Linked DNA regions of Rattus norvegicus. The protein of the gene in region 1 interacts with the protein of each later gene in a biochemical or structural test. Links are inferred from orthologs where the notes say so. Each region holds a gene or a part of one and is shown in the gene's direction. Other genes may lie near its edges. The genes, in order: Rnf181 and Itga2b.

Region 1 (4,404 bases):
CCTTGGCTACAGTTAGTTTGGAGCTCTCATCTGGGCAAGATGAGAGGCCCTGCCTCAAAAGAGAAACAATGGTTAAAGAACTGGCCCAGAGATTAAGAGCACCAGCTGTTCTAGTGGACCCAGGTTCAGTTCCCGGCACCCATATGGCAGCTCACAGCTGTTTTTAACTCTAATTCCAAAGGATCTGACACCCTCACACAGCCACACATGCAGGTAAAAAAAACACCAACAAGCATAAAGCAAAAGTAAGTTCAGCAAACAAACAAACATGAAGTTTAAAAAAAAAAGGGCATATTGATCTTTGGAGGATCCAAGTTTGCAAGTTCAATTCCCATCTCTCAGGTCAGGCACTTCATAACCACCTGTAAGTCCAGCTTCAGGGAGATCATCCTCTATGGGCACCTGCACTTAACACACACACACACACACACACACACACACACACACACACACACACACACACACACACACGGTCTATAAAGTAAAACATTTAAGAAAAGCAAGAAACGGGGTTGGGGATTTAGCTCAGTGGTAGAGCGCTTGCCTAACAAGAGCAAGGCCCTGGGTTCGGTCCTCAACTCCGAAAAAAAGAAAAAAAAAAAAAAAAAGCAAGAAACATGTCAGAGAGATAATCCCATGAAGTGTTTGCCTTGTAAGCACAAGGACTGGCATTAATCCCATCTTTAAAAGTCAGGTGTGTGGACCAATGTGATAGCAATAACTTTTGATTCAAGCACTGGCAAAGTGGAGACAAGCAGATCTCTGTTAGATTGAGGCTAGCCTGGTCTACGTAGTGACCCTTTCTCAAAAACACATCAACAAGCAAAACCCCCCAATGTGGTGGTCTTCTTCTTCTGGTGTGGTACTTCCAGAATTGGGAAGGCAGAGAGAGGCAGATTTCCTGGGGTCACTAGCCACCAGCATAGGCGAGCTCTAGTCCAAGAAGAGATGTCTCCAAAACAAAACAAACAAACAAAAAAGTGAGCTGGAAGTAAAGCCTGTGGTGTCACAGGTGGGCTGGTATGCTGATGCATGCCACGAATCCCAGAACTTAGGAGGCAGAGGCAAGTGGATTTCTCTGAGTTTGAGGCTAGCCTCAGCTACATAGTGAGAAGCTGTCTTAAGAAAAGAAAAAAAGAAAAGAAAAGAAAACGAGGGGTGGGGTGGAGAACAGAAGAGAAAACAGACAATTCCTGAGTGAACAACAACTGAGGTGGATCTCTGGCCTCCAAACATAGATGCACACACATACATGGATATGAGTACATGAGTACACATATATACATGAGACAAACATGACAAGGGAAGGGCTTTTTGCCTGGCATTTCTTTCTTCCTAATTTCTTAATCTTTGTCTTATTCTTTTTTTTTTCTTTGTCTTATTCTTAGTTGAACGTTACATATCCCCACATTACACCCAAAAGCCTTCAGTGCTTCCATGGTGCTATAAACAGAGTCATAAAGGAAAGAATTAAAGGATTCCAGTGTTCCAAGTTACACAGGACAAGGCCAATGCCTTCAAGGTCATAGGAAGGATCACTCATGGGCTGGCACGATGGTTTGGCAGGTAAAGGTGCTTGTTGCTAACGATTACTGGTTGGGGCTCTGTATGTGTGTGTTGCCAATTTGACAGAAGCTAGAGTCATCTGGGAAGAGGGAACTTGGATTGAGAAGATGTCTTGATCAAATCATCCCGTAGGCTATCAGTGTAGCGTTGTCTTGATTGATGACTGATGTGGAAGAGCCCGGCCTACCATAGATGTTGCCACCCTGGACAGGTGATCCCAGGTTATATAAAAACCAAGCTGAGTAATCCATGGAAAGAAGCAAGCTTTCTATGCCCTCTGTTCCCTCCTACAGGTTCCTGCCCTGACTTCCCTCAGTGATGAACTGTGACCTGGAAGTCATAAGATGAAATGAGCCCTTTCCTCCCTCAAGTTGCCTTGGGCACAGTGTTTATCACACCAAGAGAAACCTACCTAGGACACCACACCTGATGAGCTGAGTTTGATTCCTGGGACCCACATGGTGGAAGGAGGGAACTGATTTCCAAACTTGTCCTCTGACCTTCACATGAGTGTTGATGAGTGTTTTGGCATGCATGCACGCACACACACACACACACACACACACACACACACACACATTTAAAAAAAAAGCACTGCTTAAAAAATAAAACAATTGTTTATTGGGCTAAGAAAGACAGAAGGCCTGCAAGACGTATTTGAGTTACTTTTCTTTCTTTCTTTCTTCCTTTCTCTCTTTCTTTCTTTCTCTCTTTCTTTCTCTCTTTCTCTCTTTCTTCCTTCCTTTCTTTCTTTTTAAAATTTATTTTATGTATATGAGTACACTGTAACTGTCTTCAGACACACCAGAAGAGGACATCAGACCTCATTACAGATTGTTGTGAGCCACCATGTGGTTGCTGGGAATTGAACTAAGGGTCTTTGGAAGAGCAGTTGGTGCTTTTAACCACTGAGCCATCTCTCCAGCCCCTCTGTCCCCTTTTTGTGAGACACTGTCTCACTCTGAAGCTCTGGCTGTCCTGGAACTCACACTATAGACGAGGCTGGCCTTGAACTCACAGAGACATGCCTGTCTCTGCCTTCCTGAGTGCTGGAATTAAAGGTGTGTGCCCCTATACTAGGCTTATTTGGGTGACTTCATTGCAGCTCAAACAAGTGTGAAGGGCAAGGGAAATTCAATGTCAAGTGTATAAAATAAGTAGGGCTTGCTAGGTGAGGGAGGGTTACCATGAAAAGCAAGAAAGGAGACTGAGAATTGTTCAGAGCTTAACCCCTTATAAGGATTAAATGTCTCACGGTCTTTAGAAAACTTTTAATATTTTAAAAATATTATAAAATGTTGAGTCTCTTTAAAATATCCAAAGTCTTTCACTGCCAAATCAAAATAAGTTACATACTTTCTTTCTCATGGCTTTATAAGTTCATACTTAGAGGGAAGAGCCAGGAAAACATAATGACGATTAAATCAGAACCCACATTTGACACCGTCTAAAGTCCAGTGCTTGATGTCTGGGACCCACCCACAATCACCTGGGTTCCAAAGGGCCTGTGAAACTTGGGTTCTGCAATCCACAGTCCACATAGCTCATCTCTCAGGCTCAGGCTGACTTCAGTACACAGCTGCTGCCGCCCTGGGCAGTCATCCAAGCCCTGGCATCTCCAATACTACGGGATCTCCACCTATGATCTTAACCAATGACCTCTCGGCCTCCCTTCAGGGACTCTGATCTTGTCACATGGATCTAAGCCTCAGCCACTCTCCAAGACTCCTTCAGTCTTCAGAACCAGCTCCATTTGGGTGATCTTTCCACATTCCCAAGTTTGGCTGCCACCATGAGTTGCACGCTCATGGGGACATAGCTTTTATGTGCTAACTCCAAGGAAATACTCCCAATTTCACTTCACTAATGCCTGTCTCTTCTTAATCACTGCTGATTTCTCAGCTCTAGCTAACCAGCATGGGTTGTTCTAGGAGAGCTAAGGGTTCACTTTTTAATGGTGCTGGCCTTTTCACAACCATGGTTGATTCTTTAGCCTCAGCTGCCCAGAGCCACAAGTTCCCACAACAGTTCATTAAGATCCAAGCACTTGGGCTGAAGAGATGGTTTGGCAGTTAAGAGCACTGACTGCTCTTCCAGAGGTCTTGAGTTCAATTCCCAGCAACCACATGGTGGCTCACACCCATCTGTAATGGGATCAGACACCCTCTCCTGGTGTGCCTGAAGACAGCAAGATCTAAGCCCTTGAACAACTTCCCCAGCTCATTTCCAACATCCTCCCCAACTTCCTAAGAATGATATGTTCATGTCTGTTGCAACAATACTCCAGTCCTGGTACTAACGTCTGTCTAGTTTTCCTTTCTGTTTGGTGTGATAAAACACCATGACCAAAAGCAACGTGTGGAGGAAAGGGTTTATTTCATCTTTTTTTTTTTTTTTTTTTTTTTTTTTTTTTTTTTTTTCGGAGCTGGGGACCGAACCCAGGGCCTTGCGCTTGCTAGGCAAGCACTCTACCACTGAGCTAAATCCCCAACCCGGTTTATTTCATCTTATAATTGTACTCCATCATGAAGGTAAGTCAGGGCAGAAAGTCATGGCAGGAACACAAGGCAGGAGCTGCAGCAGAGGCCATGGAAGAACACTTCTCACTGGCTCTCTCAACCTGCTTTCTTCTATACCCCAGGACCTCCCCTGGGGTGTCCCTGCCCACAGTGAGCTGGGCCCTTCCATATCAGTCATTAATCAAGAAAATGACTAGGCCAATGGAATGAAGGCATTGTCTCAGTTAAAGGTCCTTCTTCCCAGATGACAAAAAGATAACAAACATACAGGGTTTATTACTTTTTTTTTTTGTTAGAGGCAGTGTCTCCCTAAAAGCCC
Region 2 (4,344 bases), on another chromosome or scaffold:
TGCTGGTATAAGACTGCAGGCCTGTCATGAGCTTGGCACTGGGGGCACATCAGTGAGGAAAGCCCTGAACAAATCCAAGGAGCTTTTTGCTTAATGAGGGGCAACATCTTCAGCTGTGTGAGAGGAAGGGAGGAGTCGGGAGTTGTTCAAAGTTGGTAGGGCGGGAAAGTGGGGTAAGGCAGTGGTTAATCAGAAATAAGGGTGGAGCTTGGGGGGCATGGCTGGGTGATAGAGCACTTGTCCTGCGTTGATGAGGCTATCCCAGCACTGCAGAAAAGGAGAAAAAAAAATACAGACTATATGTGGCTGTATTCCTACATCCCTTTGCTTTGGGGCAAAAGGCGTGCAAGGCCAACAGGGCATGGAGCTCTGTTCCCCTTCCCCCCCCCCCCATATAGAAGGGGATTCTGTGGCCCTCACCCCTTTGTGGCCCTGAGAATCTGACCCCTCTCCCTTTGCTCCTTCCACCCTTGAGGAAGACCAGTCAACCTTTCAGCAGCAACTCATGCCAGGCTGTGAGCTAGGCCCCGGGACAACAGAAAGGACCCTTGCTCTCAAAGGATTCAGGTACTCAATTCAGTAAAAAAGTGTCATCAGGTACTGTGCCTGTGTGTGTGTATATGCCAAGGACTGAGGACTCAGGAGCTTTCTCCTAGACAATCTCAGAACGATGTCATCTCATCCCACTTAGGCCACGGCCATTCACTGCCAATATTGAAGGTGCCAGTGTAAACGCACCAAGACCTGGTTAAGATGGAGATGTGAGGAAACCAATGGCCAAGTGGGGCTGCCTGAGGCTGCCAAAGGCTTGCAGAGGAGGAAGCCGATAAATGTCCTACTCAAAATGATGACAACCTCGGGTTTTATCAGGGGAGAGCAGCTTCCTTTACCCCTTCCTCTCCCTCTAGCCAAGTCACAGTGTTCAGTGGTCAGCTACATGGGGGAGACAAGGACAGTACAACCGTGGGCCGTGGTGAAGTAAGACAGAGCTGTGAATTCATGTTTACACTTTCCCGGGCGGAAAGAGATGGTGGCCTGACTTTCACAGTGACAGAGGAGGAGAAAGGGGATTTCTGGGCCTGTGGCTGAGAAACTGAAACTACAGGACTTGGAGAGGAGCTTTTCTGGAGAGAAGGGAGAAGCAATGACTTCCGGTCATCAGCACCTATCCCCGGGACAGACCCTCCCTTTCCTAGTAGTCCTAGAGACCGTGTGGTCCAGAGGCTATTCCCCTCTGCCATGCCTGCTGCTAAGCCATGAGCTCCAGTCTGATAAGCCGAAACTTCCGGTGGTGGGGACTTGAGGGAAGGGGAAGAGCTTGACCATTCCTGCTTAGGACATTTGGGGAGAAGGAAGATGGCCAGAGCTTCATGTGCGTGGAATACCCTGTGGCTTCTGCAGTGGACACCACTGTTCCTGGGACCAAGTGCTGCTCCTCCTGCCTGGGCCTTGAACCTGGACTCTGTGAAGTTCTCTGTCTATACAGGCCCCAATGGCAGCCACTTTGGCTTCTCAGTGGACTTTCATAAGGACAGCCATGGGAGGTGAGCACTAAAGGAGAGAGGTCTGCCCCTTAGCAGTGCTCCTGTGGCTTCTTAGCGCCTAGTTGAGCAAGGTTGACTCTAGGGTCTGTTTGAGTGGTGCTCCTGTCAGGAATGCTGGGGGCGGGGGCGCAGGTTCCAGGGAGGGCACTGTGGAGGGATAGCAACAGGGAGCACTGAGCAAACAAAGGTAAAAATGTCTTTTTCTTTTCCCCCAAGCGTCAATGATGTGACTCGCTTTACCTCCCTCCCCTCACTCTAAATTGACTGACTGGCAAAGCTACAAGTGCCTACCGGGTACACCTTGCTTTCCTCCATTCCTCACCTCATCTCCTTCCAAATTACAGATGTTTGAAAAGAAGTAATAAATTACTAACAGTCAGTATGGATCAGGCTTTGAGGTCAAACTGCTAAGATTAGAGTCCTGGCTTATCCACGTAGCTGTGTTTATCCTGAGTGACTTATTGAAATGGACACTGGAATGCCCAGGTCTGGGGAACAGTAATGACCATTCTCAAAGGCAGCAGCAAGAAATTATTTCTTCTGCCTGAGAGAGCCACTTCATCAAAAATCAGGTTCCCCTTCCCAAGATGACTTGCATCCAGAGACTCTCCATGAGGGGGAAGGAACCTAGGGTTGCCTCAGTTCTGATGATTATAAAGGGTGCTTCTCTAGCTGACCGTGGTAGCACATGCTAGTAAACCCAGTACTTGGAAGCTGAGGCAGGAGAACTACCACAAGTTAAATAGCCAGGGCCACATAACAAGATTCTGTCGGAATGAATAAATAGAACTCCTGAGCATGGTGCCATGCCAAACACCTTTCATCTCCTTTAATGGAAACAGAGGTAGGCAGTGCCCTGTGAGTTCGAGGTCAGCCTGCTAGTCTAAATAGTGAGTTCCAGGACAGCCAGAGCTACACACACACACACACACACACACACACACACACACACACACACAAAGAGAGAGAGAGAGAGAGAGAGAGAGAGAGAGAGAGAGAGAGAGAGAGCGCCTGTCTCAAAACAAATAAACAAAGCCAACCAAAGAAAATCCTCCTGGCTTCAGAGCTCCTGAGTGTTTCAATACAACTCCTGTCGTTTCTTCCTCTGTCTCCTGTTTCTTCCCTGAAGGTCTGATCACGCGGACACAATTTTTTTTTTCCGGAGCTGGGGACCGAACCCAGGGCCTTGCGCTTGCTAGGCAAGCGCTCTACCGCTGAGCTAAATCCCCAACCCCACGGGGACACAATTTAATAAGCATCCTGTGTGTTTATTAACATGCACACTCTTACAAAAGCATGTTGCTGGGGCATACTAAATACCTCTCATCCGTTTATTGTATTAACTCTTCCAACAGCATAATTGGTTGCTATTACCTCCGTTTTACCTATGGCAGACCTGGTTTAAACAGAGACTGCTAGGATCCTCAACCCTGTCAGCACCACACATCCCAGTTCGCTCTCACCAACCTCCGCCCTTCCAACCAGTTCTCACTAGGTCCTCTCTAGAAGTTTGACAGGCAGAAATTTTGTCTGGTTCTTGTTGGGAGGGAGTAGGGGGCAGGAAATCAGTGTACAAAGTATAAGAGGTCTTTTCAATAAGGATTATTAAAACGTTCCCTTCCAAACCGAACCAACTGGTTTAGTCTCAAGTTAATTTCCTAAGAGTCCACTTTCAGCTGAAGTGAAGAGGTCGGCCTCAATAGGTTATCTGTGAGGAAAGATGGTCCACTTTTTCCTATGCCACACCTCCTTCTAGGTACTGCTGGGGTAGTGGGCACTGGGCAGGATAGAAATGCTATAATCGGGGCTGGGGATTTAGCTCAGTGGTTAGAGTGCTTACCTAGGAAGCGCAAGGCCCTGGGTTCGGTCCCCAGCTCCGAAAAAAAGAACCAAAAAAAAAAAAAAAAAAAAAAAAAGAAATGCTATAATCTACTCACCCAGCTTTCCTAACAGCGTGTCCATCGTGGTGGGCGCCCCCAGGGCCCTAAACGCAAATCAAGAGGAGACTGGAGGTGTGTTCCTGTGCCCCTGGAAGGCCAATAACGGCACATGTACCTCGTTGCTTTTCGACCTCAGTGAGTCTCAACCATGGAGGGGAAAGGGGGAGTCAGGTGGAAATGGATGGCCGGGCTCCTGAGCGCCACCTTTTCTTGTGCCCTCCAGGGGATGAGACGCGAAAACTAAGCTTGCAAACTTTCCAAACCTTCAAGACCGGGCAAGGACTTGGGGCATCGGTCCTCAGCTGGAATGACGTCATTGTGGTGGGCACTGTGGACAGGTCAAAGGGAGCAAGTCCAGGGCAGGGACACGTTGGGGGAAGCCCGAATAAGCTCCCTTCCCCACTCTCCTGTGGATCTGCTCTAGGCCTGTGCCCCCTGGCAGCACTGGAATGTCCTAGAAAAGTACGATGAGGCAGAGAAGACTCCGGTAGGAGGCTGCTTCGTGGCTGAGCTCCAAAGCGGGGGCCGCGCAGAATACTCGCCCTGTCGCTCCAACACCATGAGCTCCGTTTACTCACAGGGTTTTAGTAAGCGCTGGTCCGCCATTGGCTCCGCCCACTAGTCGCTGCAAGCCCCGCCCACCACCAAACCTCGCGTCCTGGGAGCCACGCCCTCCTCTATACCACGCCCCCTCGGCCCCTCCTCTATGCTCTCCCCGCCCCGCATAGTTCCGCCTGCCCGCGCGAGACTCTTGGCTTAAACTCTAGTTCAGGGAGCCTCCCCTTGGCTGATCCCACTTGCCTCTTGTAGGCGGAGACAAGCGATACTGTGAAGCAGGCTTCAGCTTGGCGGTGACCCAG

What was found.
Region 2: the proteins of Rnf181 (region 1) and Itga2b form a complex in vitro, tested with the Homo sapiens proteins (2 studies listed by BioGRID). The link is inferred for Rattus norvegicus from reciprocal best matches to the Homo sapiens genes RNF181 and ITGA2B.

The regions. Positions count from the first base shown.
Region 1 is NC_086022.1:105,976,609-105,981,012, reverse strand, and holds the start of Rnf181 (E3 ubiquitin-protein ligase RNF181), read left to right. Parts: upstream 1-1,512; 5' UTR 1,513-1,566; intron 1,567-4,404.
Region 2 is NC_086028.1:87,922,814-87,927,157, reverse strand, and holds the start of Itga2b (integrin alpha-IIb precursor), read left to right. Parts: upstream 1-1,324; 5' UTR 1,325-1,356; coding exon 1,357-1,544; intron 1,545-3,497; coding exon 3,498-3,619; intron 3,620-3,707; coding exon 3,708-3,805; intron 3,806-3,908; coding exon 3,909-4,071; intron 4,072-4,294; coding exon 4,295-4,344. UniProt on the Homo sapiens protein: Integrin alpha-IIb/beta-3 is a receptor for fibronectin, fibrinogen, plasminogen, prothrombin, thrombospondin and vitronectin. It recognizes the sequence R-G-D in a wide array of ligands.